3 linked regions of the Arabidopsis thaliana genome follow. The protein of the gene in region 1 interacts with the protein of each later gene in a pairwise test. Each region holds a gene or a part of one and is shown on either strand. Other genes may lie near its edges.

The links. Proteins that work in one complex are often made in the same cells at the same time.
Region 2: the proteins of AT4G25680 (region 1) and AT3G20680 interact in a two-hybrid assay, tested with the Arabidopsis thaliana proteins (one large-scale study listed by BioGRID).
Region 3: the proteins of AT4G25680 (region 1) and PRA1.B4 interact in a two-hybrid assay, tested with the Arabidopsis thaliana proteins (one large-scale study listed by BioGRID).

The regions. Positions count from the first base shown.
Region 1 is NC_003075.7:13,086,002-13,091,465, reverse strand, and holds AT4G25680 (PPPDE putative thiol peptidase family protein), read right to left. Parts: upstream 3,494-5,464; 5' UTR 3,042-3,493; coding exon 2,907-3,041; intron 2,309-2,906; coding exon 2,047-2,308; intron 1,958-2,046; coding exon 1,890-1,957; intron 1,808-1,889; coding exon 1,514-1,807; 3' UTR 1,305-1,513; downstream 1-1,304. Other genes in the region: AT4G25690 (stress response NST1-like protein), read left to right, coding at 470-1,045.
Region 2 is NC_003074.8:7,229,207-7,233,645, forward strand, and holds AT3G20680 (plant/protein (DUF1995)), read right to left. Parts: upstream 1,989-4,439; 5' UTR 1,958-1,988; coding exon 941-1,957; 3' UTR 862-940; downstream 1-861. Other genes in the region: HTA13 (histone H2A 13), read left to right, coding at 266-454, 548-757; AT3G20690 (F-box and associated interaction domains-containing protein), read right to left, coding at 2,364-3,476; AT3G20700 (F-box associated ubiquitination effector family protein), read right to left, coding at 4,319-4,439.
Region 3 is NC_003071.7:16,068,525-16,073,101, forward strand, and holds PRA1.B4 (prenylated RAB acceptor 1.B4), read right to left. Parts: upstream 2,141-4,577; 5' UTR 1,979-2,140; coding exon 1,316-1,978; 3' UTR 862-1,315; downstream 1-861. Other genes in the region: AT2G38350 (uncharacterized protein), read left to right, coding at 545-784; AT2G38365 (endonuclease/glycosyl hydrolase), read left to right, coding at 2,406-2,726; AT2G38370 (weak chloroplast movement under blue light protein (DUF827)), read right to left, coding at 3,660-4,577. UniProt on the Arabidopsis thaliana protein: May be involved in both secretory and endocytic intracellular trafficking in the endosomal/prevacuolar compartments.

The sequences.
Region 1 (5,464 bases):
TTATTGTTGACTGTTGAAATCGTTAGTTGATTTATGTTTGACCACTTTCTTTGGACTTGGTGTCTTTTTATGTTCCTTGAATAAAGTGGAATGTTTTGCAACTACAATTGTTAGCTTCTACAAGTTTGAATGCTATTGTTTTGACTGTTGCTTTAAGATTGATGTTATGCACAAGGCTTATCTGTTTCTCCTTTGCAACTACTATAAGCTAATCAAGTAATCGTCAATGCAGAAAATGGGAGAGTCTACGGGGTGTGGGAAAGGAGGACTAATGATTCCAAATCATAAGTCTGCTAATTCTTATAACCTCTCCCTTGAGTTGTCTCTTGTTGACTCTGTTTGGGATTGTAATGTTCGGACCATGAGGTATTCCTATATACCTGAGTGGTTGTAGTCTTTGAAATCCTCTTAGACAACGAGTTTAGTGCATTTTACTTTAGTTGGAATCAAAGAGTTATAGCAAGCAATAATGGATCACACGTTGTGCAAGCAAGTTGTTCAGCCAGTTACTAGGAAAGTGAAGAAGCATGGTAAAGATGAATTTGATCGTATCAAACAAGCTGAGAAGAAAAAGAGACGTTTGGAGAAAGCTCTTGCTACTTCTGCAGCCATTCGGGCTGAGCTTGAAAAGAAGAAGCAGAAGAGATTGGAAGAACAACAAAGGTTAGATGAAGAAGGAGCTGCAATTGCAGAAGCTGTCGCTCTGCACGTCCTACTGGGCGAAGATTCTGATGATTCATCTCGAGTCAAGTTTGGCGAAGAAACGGGTTTCGGAATGGATCTGTTTAGAGATGAAAGAACCAACTATGTTCCTCGCCAAAGTTGTGCTAGCTATGCGGTTCAAGGGATTGGGTTTGTGTCAAATGGTTATGGACTAGGAGATAGTAACTGGTCAGTGTCATATAAGCCATTCATGAAGGATGTCTGGGATAACAACATGGTAATATCTGCAGATTTGATTGCTGCTCAGGCTGTTTCGTCACTACAGATATCTGAGGACGCTGATAGGAACGCTTATGTCTTCGAGACGATGTTCGGGGGATGACAAAAGCCATCGTGCCAAACTTGGCTGCAGAAACAAGTGTTTGCTATGAGTAGAGTTGCAGTTTTTTTCTTTATTCTAGAACCCCTTTTGGTGTGAAAATTCCTCCTCGTTGTTTATCTTTTGATGTTAGACTAGCTGAAAAGATGTTTTCTGAATTCTCTTTGTAACATTCACAAATACGTTCTAAGTTTTATACAGATTACAGAGTACCTCTTGAATCACGTGATTATCCAAATTCAGTCACAATTTCTAGTGTATTGAGACTAATAAACCTTTTGATGTTAAGATTTGACAGTAACAAGCGAGAATGATCTTAACAAAAGCACACGTGAGCTAAAAACTCAAGAAAAAATGACAGGTTCCAACGTTGATACAGAGTAATGGGTACAGACGAGGAGAATAGTGCGTGACTCTTAGACCGGTGGATATACAGCTAACCGAATGCATTGTGGTGGATCGGTACGGTTGCTACTGAAACAGTAGAACATCAGAGTCACGGCTTTGTTTCTTCTGATTGGTGACTGCATGATTTGCATCTTCATCTTTGTTCCCTATCTCTGTACTAGTGGAGGGTTTGGCTGTGTTAAGTAAGCCTTTGAGCCAACTACCTTGCAATCTCAAGTTCCCGCTGTCTGAATTGTTGAGAGTTCCCGGTCGTTGTGGAGAGCCATTGGAGCCATTGGTTACGTTCGAAGTAACATTCGAGAGGAAGCGATAAGCCACTTTACTAGCTGACACAAGTTCAGTTTTGGCTTGCTTCATCTGCAAAATCCCAATTTACAAGTTTTGAACACCCATAATGTTGCATTTACGTTGTAGAGAAGCTAAACAAAAGGGAACCCACCCGCATTGCTGTGTTTCCTGCCACTTCCAAGGCTGTGTCCCCAGCATTAGCAAAGCGATTAACCCAACCTGTTAAGAGACAGAACCCAAGCCGTCACATAAGCCTTGAAGACAAAACACACACACACACACACCAGATTCCCAAAAAATGGCTTTACCTGGGATCTTTGGCACACCAAGCCGGTCACAGAGTACATCGCAGAAGTGATTGCAATTTTTTGACAACAAATCATAAGTGTGTCCAGGCCATTCCCTGCTGAGTTCACGCAACATCTGATTCACCATGAAGATTGTGCAATCTGTTTTGCCAAGGACGATTTTCTCACGGTATGTGTACATTGGATTCTTTCCACTCGGGCAGCTGAATACACCAGTTCCTAGTTCACAATACCCGTAAGACCATTCATCGTTTCCATATACCTGCACAAAGGTCATAAAATATTCTATTCAATCACTCTTCCCTGCGAATCAATAGTCATCTACAAGACACAAAAAAATAACAAAACCATGAACAAGAATAATCAAATGATATTGCATAGATATACAGACCTAAGAACATAGAATGATTAGCACTAACTTGAAAACCTAAATTCTGGTAGTTTTGTTGGAATACACCAAATTGTCACGACTCAAATGGGAAAGTGGTATATGCAATTATATTTGCCCAGGTCAAAGATCACAGAAGTAAACGTAAGCCATCATTGGATTTAACAAGTCTCCAGAGAGCACTTGGTCAATATATCGCAATCATTATCATATGGAAAGTTACCAAAAGTACTAGGAAACACAAGATCCTGAGCAAAAGAGAGACTTCAGCTCCAGACCTTTAGGACCATAAACCATTAAACTAAAGCCTCACATATCAAAAGAAAAGTATCATGCCGTCAACTTCTTAATTTCCACATACATACACAGAAACAAAAACCAAATCTACATAAAGTAGACCAAAACCAAGCTTAGACATCATCGATAATTGTACATAAATGTAGATTCATAGAATATAGACGAAGAGTAGTACCTGAATAGCGCTGTGGAATATACCGCCAAGACCGATCCCGTCTTTGAAGAACCTATTGATCTGAACAATGGTGTTGTTAGTCTTCTCCGATCCACTGTTCGTCACATCGTATATATGCAGAACAACCTCCGTCATTGATTCTATATTTACCAAGCAACACGAACCCTAATTTCCTACCAAAAAGAGCTCGCAGATTCTCTCTATATAGAGCTTTTGGTGAAGAAGGAAACCTAAAGACTCGTACCAAATCCACTTCTCCGTTTAACGAATCCAACAACTACTAGATCTCCCCGAAAAGAAATCTAAAGGCACAAGATTAGACTTATCTTTCTTCTTCCGATTTCTCAATTTCAGACGTAGGAGATGAAGAAGAAACTGGTGCGGCGGTGGTGGTGGTGGTGGGGATCCACTGAAATGACAATTTTACCCTCGCTTTTCCTGCGGAATTGCTACTTTACGTGTCCCTTGTTAATTCCTTTTGTTTACAACTTAAGCACGCGTTTAGATTATGAATTTATGGTAACAAATTATATTAGTATGAACGTTGTTCGCAGTTGATTAAACGGGTCAACTACTGAACCTTTTTTCTTTCATTTAACTAACATTTCTTTAGCTAGACAAGTGTCCTTACCAAAACAAATCAAAAATACTAGTAAAGCATCTCTATAACAAAATAATGACTTAAGTAATCTGACACAACCAAGGAAGATGATTCATGACTATTAAAAAATGGGGTAAACAAAAAAAAAAGAGGGTAATCAATTGACCGATTCTTCCGATAATTTTCGAAAATGCAAAACGGACACAAGTCTGGTTTTCGTTAGCCATCTGATTCGTCTCGAATTAGTCCATCCATTCATACACCAAATTTATAATTTTGCTTCTATGTAAAAAAGTCAATCATAAAAACTTAATGACTTCTTTTTTATGGTACATACATATTGGGCCAATTGGGCCTAGGCCCAGTACAACAGATGGGATTCAGGAAATAAATTAGGACCAAAGAAATTCGACCAAGTTTTTTGTTATATCAAAAGTGTATTCAAAGTCTCATTTTGGTGGATGAATCTTGAATGGGATGCTCAAAGCACAAACAAAGCTTAGTCAAGTTGATAAACTTTGAATGCAAATTAAGCTCTTATATTTTATTGTAATGTAAGGTAACATGACACTTGTACATATTCGTGAAAGGCTCAAATTTTCTTTCTTACATGATAAATATTGCAAAGTTGGAACCGGAAGTCGACAAAAAAAAAAGTTGGAACCGGAAACATCTCAAAACAGTTATCGGGGGATCTAACGGCTGCTAATAGCCCTCATTAGGACCCACAAAATACTGGGAGTAGACGAAGTCGCACCGGCCAAGTCTCCAAAGTCCCAATTGAAAACTTACACTTGAAAAAAAAGTCAGACATCATTCGACACGTGTCCCCATTTCATTAGAAGTCGCGCTGCGTTTCTTTCTCTGTACTAGTTATAATTCCTTCTATTATCCTCTCTCTCTCGTCTTCTTCGTCTGCTCTTCTTTTTTATCTCTCGAAATTCCTCTCTCTTTCTCTCTGCATCAAAACAGCAACTTTACTTCTGCGTTTTTGTTTATCTCTCTGTATTATCCGATTAATTTAAAGGAGTTCTTTGAAGGCAGCTGCTTCTATGCCATATTGCCGAGGTTTGGATCTAAATTTCATCATCATCTTTGTTTCTCCGTTTATCTTCAATTTCCCTTTATCTTTTCAATATAATTGACTTATTTCGTTAAAAGTCTTTTTGATTAGCTTCCTCGGATCTTATGCTTATTCATGGATCTTAGACCTACATAATGGATTAAATCCGATTGTTTCTCTTATTGTTCTTGTTGAATTGAGGTTAATTTTGATCTGAAAATTAGTTTCTGCGGCAGATCTGGTGTCTGTATTTGTGTAATTTGTATCCATTAGTCTTAATTGAGTTATTAGCTGAGGATTAAGAGAGATCCTGAAATTTGCCGTGGAATTAACTCTTTCTGTGGATGGATGGATACCCTTTGTATTCTTCAACTTTGCTCCTACTCTGGGAAATTAGGGTTTGAGTAATCATTAGGTTTTACTCTTTGGCTGTTGTTGACTATCTTCAATCTAATTGGTGGCTGATTTTGTTTGACTTCTTTAGGACTTTTGGTGTCTTTCGAGGTCATTAGAACAATTGTGTCTGCTTGGTTGGTGGTCTATCTACAACTGTTAGCTTTTACAAGTTTGAATGCTATTGTTTTGGCTTTCAGATTTTGATGTTATGGATTTCTGTGTTACTACTCCTCTGCAACTTGAAACTAATCAAGTAATTGTCAATGCAGAAAATGGGCGAGTCTAAGGGGTGCGGGAATGTTGGACGAATGATTTCGAAGAATAAGTCTGCGAATTCTTATAACCTCTCTCTTCAGTTGTCTCCTGTTGTTTCTTTCTGGGATTGTATTGTCCGCACCATGAGGTATTCCTATATACCAGAGTGGGTGTAGTTCTTGAGTTCCTCTACAACATCATCGAGTTTAGTGCAGTTTTTTAGTTAGAAATTTATAGTCAAGC
Region 2 (4,439 bases), on another chromosome or scaffold:
AAGGGTATTTCCGTCAATCCCAATTCTAACAATGAATTCAGGAGTATAAAAACGTAAATTCAAGCGTGCCAATTATAAACCGTCGATCATAATCTAATCCAACGGCAGTAACATCGATCCGCGTGATTGTTTATTATTGGATAAGAATCACTCAACCGTCTCTACACAGTATATATAATAACCAAAGAGCGTCCTCTTACGCTTATCTTAATTTCCCTCGCATTGAGAATTTTCAACTTTTTCTATCTCTCTTCCCAAATCACAAATGGCGGGTCGCGGCAAAACTCTCGGATCTGGCGTTGCTAAGAAATCAACATCGAGAAGCAGCAAAGCCGGTCTCCAATTCCCCGTTGGTCGTATCGCTCGTTTTCTAAAGAACGGCAAGTACGCAACACGTGTTGGTGCCGGAGCTCCGGTTTACTTAGCCGCCGTTCTCGAATACCTCGCCGCTGAGGTAATTATCCCCTTCTCTCCCTATATCTCTTTACTCTTTCGATCTTCAATTTCGTAAAACCCTAATTTCTAAATTGGATCTGTTGTGTTGTAGGTATTGGAATTGGCTGGAAACGCAGCTAGGGATAACAAGAAGACTAGGATTGTGCCACGTCACATTCAGCTCGCGGTGAGAAACGATGAGGAGCTGAGTAAACTGCTTGGAGATGTGACGATTGCTAATGGAGGTGTGATGCCTAACATTCACAGTCTTCTTCTTCCCAAGAAAGCTGGTGCTTCAAAACCTTCCGCTGATGAAGATTAGATTAGGGATTTGTGTTGTGGTTGTTTAGCTAATTAATGTGTAGCTTAGTCTTTCATTAGATTAGATCTGAATTAGTTTTCATTAATGGTGTTGTGTAGTCTCTCTTTTGCTTCAAAAACAAGTATTAAAATCTTATTATTTTGAATTGAATCCACAATCAATACACATTGAAGTCCTAACAAACTACTTCTTCCCAGTGATATTTGAAACCAAATCACTAAGAAACTTAGCTGATTTGGTAATAGGAGAATTCATAGCCATCAAGTTATACAGAACAAGCTCAACTTCTTCGATTGATGGTCGAGAATTGAATTGTGAAACAACTTTCAAAGTACCATTACCTTCTTCTTCTTCAACGAGAACATTCCATCTTTCTCCACTCACAACACCGTCTCTTACACACTTAAAGATCACTCCTTTTCTCTTACTAAACACTCCTCTCACTTCTAAGCCAGTGAACGCATAAATCACTTCAAAGGAACCAATAAAGCCATCTCCAAAGCTTTTCTCTTCTTCAAACAACCATCTCGGATTGATCATTACTACAGGTTTTGTAGAAAAAGCTTCACTCGCGGTCTTAACATCCTCCAGCTGCGATTTCTCCGGAGCCATGAAGATCGCCACGTCAGCAGATCTCAGAGCTGTTTTAAGAGAGTCTGAGACCGGAGACATGGCAATGTGGTGGATAGAGTCTGACCGGAAAGCTTTAACGGCGGGATCGATGAATGAAGGGTTAGGCCAGAGGAAGAGAAGCTTGACATTAGAGCCTCTTCTCGAGATGGGTAAGTCATGAAAGATCGAGAAAGCGAGCTGAGAGAGTGACGAAGGAGAATCATCGTCAAGGATTGGGATTTCAAGACGGAATCTTGGTTGTTTGAGCTTCCTGAGTTTTGGGGAAGCGAGTTTTGGGTTGTTTAAGGGTTTGATGAGACATGAAAGGAGACAAGTTTTGGCTTGATTAATGGCTTCTTCTTTGGAAAGGGGAGGAGAAGAAGAAGAAGGTGAAGGAAGAGAGGAACAGAGAGGAGCGAATAAACGAGTAGTGGTTGATTTGTGGTTGAGCTTTGAATGCTGTTGTGAGAGTGATTTGGAGAAATGAAGATGGAAAATTCTGGAATTGGGAGGAGATAACGAAGGAGGAGATGGGTTTAGAGCTTTGAATGTCTGTGAATTGAGTTTGAAGAGAGTCGAAGAAGCCATGGCTGATCTCTGATGATGAGGAAGAGAAGAGAAAGAGGATAAGGTTGTTCAAAACTTCAAATAAGAAATGAGACAAAACCGATCGAGTTACATAAACGAAAATTTGATTTCGGTTTGGGTCGGTTTATATAACCAAACCGAAAATAAAGTAAACAAAACAAAGGAATTGCTTAAACAAAAGTACCTTGCTCGTCACTTGTTGTCTCTCTGTTTTGTAATTTGATAACTTATAAATCTTCATTATATAATTGCATAAAGAGATGAGAAACAAATTAATATTAAAATAAGATGAAAGCAAGAAGACTAATTCATAGGTCTGGTTAACTTGATTTGAATAAAACTTGGAGCATAAGAACACATAGGACCTGGTGTGCATAGAGAGTCACCGAGACCCACTGTTTTGAGACTACTTCACAGAACTTGGTACATAAGAGCACACAAGACGGCAAAGTGGTTGATATAGAGGTTCACGGAGATCCGCTCTTCTGAAATAACCATTCTCTCCAACGATGTAAGCTATGTGGACAGTGGATTTGAGCCCCTCTGTCTCCTCTTTATTAAAAAACACTACGACTTTCTCTTCATCATAAATCAAGTATCCCTCAGTCAGAAAAAATCTTGGTGTGTTATCAACTTTTAAGAACTTGCTCCACGAGACTTCATCGGGCTCAATCTTGTTCGTAACCCAAATATCGATCTCAGATTTGCCACCCCGCCACCGCTTTACTAACACCGCAAGCTTCTCTTCTCTTACCACATATAGACTCCCCAAAAATTCATCGATGAAGGGTTGAGGTAGAGGCAGACGCGGTCCGAATCTCTCTCTAGTAAAATCAAAGCATATTAAATAACAATCTTCTGATCTTCTATCTTTAGCATACCAGTAAGTATTTCCCTTCAAAGACACGCCATCTTGCATAAACGCTATATCCCATTTAAGAGGGAAACTAGAAACCATCCGTGAATTAGACCTCAAATTGTAGATTTCAAGTCTATTAGGGTAACTATCGAAAACCCTTAAGATTTTGTGGCAACCACAAGATTTGTCGTATCCGAAAGCAAGTTTGTCAAAACTTGCAAAATTATTTATGCGTTTGACCCATTCACGTTTCCCCCAATACGGGTTACAAACCACAAGCCTAATACTATCATCAGTGATGCTTCCGTATAACAACAATAAACCGTTGCAGTGAAAGACATTGAATATTTCCTTGAATATTAGATCTAAATTTTCTAGGTGAAGAATACCTTTATTCTTTATAGATAGATCAATAATGTTGTTGTTGTTCTGAATACCATGGAGATTGACGCCAATTGAATAAACCTTACAATCTTTAATCATTATCAAATCTCTTTTCCCTGATGCGGTTACATTGCCGATGTGCTTATTTGCAAAGCTCCGATGTTTGGATAGAACGTTCCAGGTTTTGCAAGTAGATCGCATTGCTTTTAAAGATATCAACGGAAGCCTAGAGAGAATCTCCTCCACCAAATCATGTGGAAGATCGGACATCATCATCGTCGCTGTTTCAAATTTCGAACAAGGATTGATCTATTTGGCGCAGATGTTAGGTCAACTTTCATAAACTCTTTTCTTTCAGACTATCGATAGATTGTTATTGAAGACACATAAACCCTAGTATTTAATTGTCTGAAATACACAAAACTCTCAAACATCCTTGTTTATTGGGCCACTCTTATTTTTAGCCCATTGGACGTATTATCCTTCCGCTCACGTGGCACAAAAACGATTGAGTTATAAACAAAATTTTTGGTATCGGTTTGGGTCGGTTTACCCTAAACCCTGCTGTTAAATTCAAAGATTAAAAGTTTTTAAAGACCAATCCTTCTTAGTTCTTACCTTCGTTTGGTTTTGTCAAATTAGTTGATGTTATGTGAGTGAAGCAATGATGAGGAGCTGATTTGTTATCGTTTTGGTAATGATGTCACTTGTGTATAGCTGCAAAGTTAAGATCCATTGCGTTGCGTGTTCGCTTCTCTGTTTCACACTCTTGCTTATAGTTTGATCACACCATGAAGATCACTAGGTTTAACAGAATAACACTGAGAATTGTATTATACTGTAAAACTAAAGTCTGTGTTGTGTGTATATGTCAAGACTCATGAGCAATGTCTCCTGCTTGAATCAACTCTGTTTCTAAGCATTTTTTACAGTCTATAGGTTATTAAGCAATGAGTTAACAAAGGTAAATTAAGAACCATGTTGAGAATTCGATTGCAACCCAAAATAGTAAAAATATTAAATAACTTAATTCATTATCAGATTGGATAAAAGAGAATGAGAAAACAATTCAAAGAAGTTGAAAGCAAAACGAAAATGTAAAAAGGACTAAACCTGGTTTACTCGATTTGCACACAACTTGGAACATAACAAGACACAATACGGCAAAGTGGTTTGTTTGGAGATTCACGGAGATCCACTCTTCTGTAATAACCATTTTCTCCAATGACGTAAGCTATG
Region 3 (4,577 bases), on another chromosome or scaffold:
AAGAAATAGATATTGTAAGTCTTGGGCACCAATCCACCTTAAATTGAAATTTTACTTTTTCAGTGTTTTTTTGGCTTACGGTGCAAGCCAGCAATTTGACATCTTCCACTTATTACTTTTCTGACAAACGTGTTTCTTTTTTTCTTTGTTTCAAACTATACTATAAAAATAAATTATTATTCCATGGTTACTTTTTTGAAGACGTTTAGTCCGAGACTTTTGGTACTCTCATTGGACTCTTCCCAGCTCAAATTGCGCGCCAACTAACAAACTGTAGCTTTTGCCTTCGCAAAGAACAATTTCTAAGTCACTGGCATTGACAAATCCCAAGTTCAAGGAGATTCTAGTTTCCGAGGTCAATACAACTTAGGATATTGCTTTGCTTTTGGTTATAGAGATATTTGCGACTAAGACTTTGTACTTTTTTGTAATTTACTAATTTTCGTTGATGGAAGATGTCAAATTGGTGACTTATACCGTAAGCTAAAACCCTTAAAAAGATAAGAATGTAAGGTGGATTGTCACCCAATACTATTAATTTTAGGTAAGTAACAAATCATTTTTAAAACGAAGCTTCCTTGTTGGCTTAGGGTATACGCCACCAATTCGATATTTCATAGACATTGGGCCTTTGCCGAACTGGACTCGAAAAGAAGTAAATGAGCTTATACTGGGCCGGACTCGAGTACGAAGCCCAATACTAAAGCTGCTCATCGAATTATTTGTGCATCGCATTTGCTCCGACCCACGATTTCAAGTCAAGTCAAGTAGCGTAAATGCGTAATGTGGATATTGTTCTGCTGCTCATCCTCAATAGGAAGTAATTTCCTTTCGTTAAATCCTACGACTCTGATCCAGGTCTGTCTTATGATGGGTGCTTTTGAAAACTGGTGAAATTTGGATGGATCTTGCATGCACATGCATCCAAATTTGACTCTTTTGATTGTATACACGCAGTGCAATGTAGTCACATAACAAATCAAAAGATGGCTACAAGTTCTAATAAACAGATCCATTGCATTTTGAATTTGATCATGAAATAAATCCATATCTTCCAAAACAACACTTGTAAATTAAAAAAGGCTAAAGATTAACACAAAACGGTAGTAAAACTTCATCAAATCAAAATCATGCAAAGATATATATTTCATCTATAGCTATTGCCCATGAACAAGAACCAAAATTAGGCCAGATCCACAACATTTTCACGTTTATTGTTTTCAGATTAAAAAAACAAAATCTAAGTATCAAATTCAACAAATGAATCATATAGAAAGATTTACCCAGGCGAGGGAATGGTAGATCGGAATCGCATTTACACGCGAGCGGCGATAACAGCAGGCGCGGCTGAAGAGGCGGCACCACCGAGGAAAGAGAGGAATCCGGTAGCAGCAGGCTCTTGCTCATCAAGGAAAAGATCTTCCGGAGCTCTAAAAGCACCATGAGCACAGATCAACGCAACACCAATCATCATAGCCGAAACCAGAACAGATCCAACATCGGTGAGGAAGATCACAAAGATACTGAACAAAATCAAACACCCTAACGTCTCACGATCGGAGAATGTACGACCGAATAGAACGATCGGCTGATCCGTGGGACGGAACAAGTAGAGGAAGAGCCACGACGCGAGGAGACAGAGGAGGAAGACGAGAGAGAAAGGATGAGTGACGAGAGAGAATCCGACGATCGCTGTAGCGACGGTGAGGTAATTAACCTTGAAATACGAGTAATTCTTGCGGATACGAACAGCAGCGTCGGAGATCGACTCAGGTTTGGATAATGCGGAACGATCCGCGAGCTCAGCCCAAGGACGACGCTTAGAGAGACCGTTTTTAACGGTTTCGGTGATCTGATTGATGAAATTGCGGAAAGCTGGAGTAGCGATCGGTGGTTGAGATTCGACGGAGGAAGGAGCGGCGGATGGAACGGTTTGGGGATTGGAGATTGGGAGGACTGGTGGTGCTGAGGAAGCCATTGGAGATCAAGTTTGGTAGATCTGAGAAAGAGAGAAGAATTAGGGTTGAAGAAATTGAAGAATTGGGCAAGATCTGATTAATAAATTAAAGAGGGAAGGAGAGATAGATTTGTTTTATATACGGGTATGAGAAAATTGTTGACCTTCCTATTTCTTTCGTTGCTACGGGTCACCGACAATAAACGTGACTCTTTTCCTTTTTGGTTTTCCTATTATTATTTGATTTAATTATGATCTATATTAGGTTAAATCTCGTGTTTTAGGGAGATAAATGTTAAAGAGTTTTATATTTATATCTATTTTTTCCAAAATTTTAAAAGTGAATGAAACTATTATATTGAATTTTATTTTTCCGATAACGGTATATTACTATTTAATCAAGATTTATTAAGGTAATGGATACATTCTATGATTTTTGGAGGAGCTTATGTTATGGACAGTTGACCGGACACGTATACCAACTAATCTCATGGTAATCTCAAGCAAAATCACAGATGACTGCTCGTACGTCAAGTGTCTTTCGTTTATGATGAAAAGCAGGACTGGGAATATTCTCTTAGCTCAGCCTGAGAACTTGGCTCATGATGATGATTTATCACAATCGCTTCTTAGTCAAGTAACTGCAGTGTGGCTTTGGACAAGCCTATCATATGGAGGAAAGCCTATCTTCAATCGTGGGATCTCACAACTGGTCACCAAGAAGTGGACAAGTACTTCAGTTCAAGGGGAGACTTCAGTTAACCAATAACAGAAACGATGATGGTTATGAGACAGAGGATTACACAAAGGTGGGTGAGTCATCTTCAACACAGAGAACACCAATAACCATGTCTCGCTCCCGGCTCCACAAGAGATTTCGCCGCGGCTGAGATTGGCGTCTTCTGGGACATGGAGGTTGGTGATTGGGACTTGGGAGTGAACTCTTTTAACTCTTTTATTCAAATCTTTCAGTTTGTTTTCTTTCAATGAAAAGCTGATGGAAAGTCTCAGTAGTTTTGATCAATGCGTTATTGATTAGGCAGTCTTGTTGATTTCTTGAGATGTAAGTCATTTAAATCTCTTGTCTACTACAATGGTTTTGTGGCTTAAAGAGGTGTCAGAGAGTTGGCCAAAACAGAGGCGAATGCAGAGTCAAGTGTTTTGGCAATTTGTCAATGCTATATCATATGTGGCTACTACTGCAGCTATACACATTGCCAACAACAATCCATTGTTTCATTAACGCACCAAAGTCATATTGTGAGAAGAAGAATCCAAGCTACTTTGATCATGGCTCTACACTTACGAAGAGAGAATTAACTAGGAGATGTGTTTACAAAACCATTGTTTCCTAATCATGTTCCAAGTCTCATTGGATATTAGATACTACCTCAGTTTAAAATGATAAGTTTGTTAGTCCCTTGAGTCATATGATGATTTAGTTAGTCTCTTAACTGATTGTTCTATGTATACATATTAACTCTCAGAGTATAAAAGAAGCTTTGTAATAGAATTAAGTTACTGAAAAATTCCATACTTCATCATCTTCTCTGTTTCGTTTCTCTGTCAATGCTAATATGGTCGTATTGGGATTAATTAGCCTAGATTAGCATTATAATAAAGCACTTGATGATACACTTTGTTTTCTTAAACTACTGGTTCACGTACAAAACAGAAAGAAGTCATCAACAGATTCAAAATATCACCTTAAGTTCAAAGCTATCTTTTTCTTCTTCTTCTTGTTCTTGCTCTCTTTGTTCAACAACACAGAGATCTTAGCAAATCCGAAACTCTTTCTCTTTCGAGTCTTCGTCCTTTTCTCATTCTCTTTCCCTTCACTTCTCTTGCTTACAGTTTTATCACTACTGCTATTCTTTGCAAGCATCTGACCCAACGACATTTTTCTTCTCTCATTAGCAACATTCATATCTGAATCCTCTGCAAGAAGTAGCTTCTTGCTCAGTATTTGTCCTATTGACATTGTTGGTTTCAAGACTGGGACCGTTGAAGAAGATGATGACCCGTCAACAACATCGTATGTCAGATGCAGACCGTTTACATCCATCAGACGTGTTGTTGTCTCTCTTCTGCTCTTGAACTTGGAAGTGTTGTTCACCGAAGAAGATAATCTTCTCCTCTGTCCATTCTCTGACCGCCATTTTCGCAGCGCCTCTTCTGCTTCGATCTTCGAAGCATTTGCAGCGTCAACTCTCTCCACAGCTTCCTCCAATACTCTCTTGCTGGTTTCAATTTCTTGAGCCGCTTCGTCAACTTTCTTCAGAACATCCTTCTTTGAAACATTAGCTTCTTCAACTCTCGACATTGCATCTTCCACTCGCTTTCTCGCCTCTTCCTCTGCGTCTCTAGCACTACGAGCAAGCACAGAATACTCTTCAGCAGAGATAGTCACAGCCTCGGCCTTACCAACATTCATACTTCCAGTAACAGCCTCAATCTCTGCGATTGCAACCGCCTCAGCCTCTCTGGCCGCTTCCTTCATCTTTCTAGCAGCCACCAACCTTATCTTAGCTGTTCTAATCTTATCTCTTGTGCTTTCAGTCTCAGCCATTGCTTTCACAACTTCCAACTCTGCATTCTCTCCGGTTTTCTTCACCTCTTG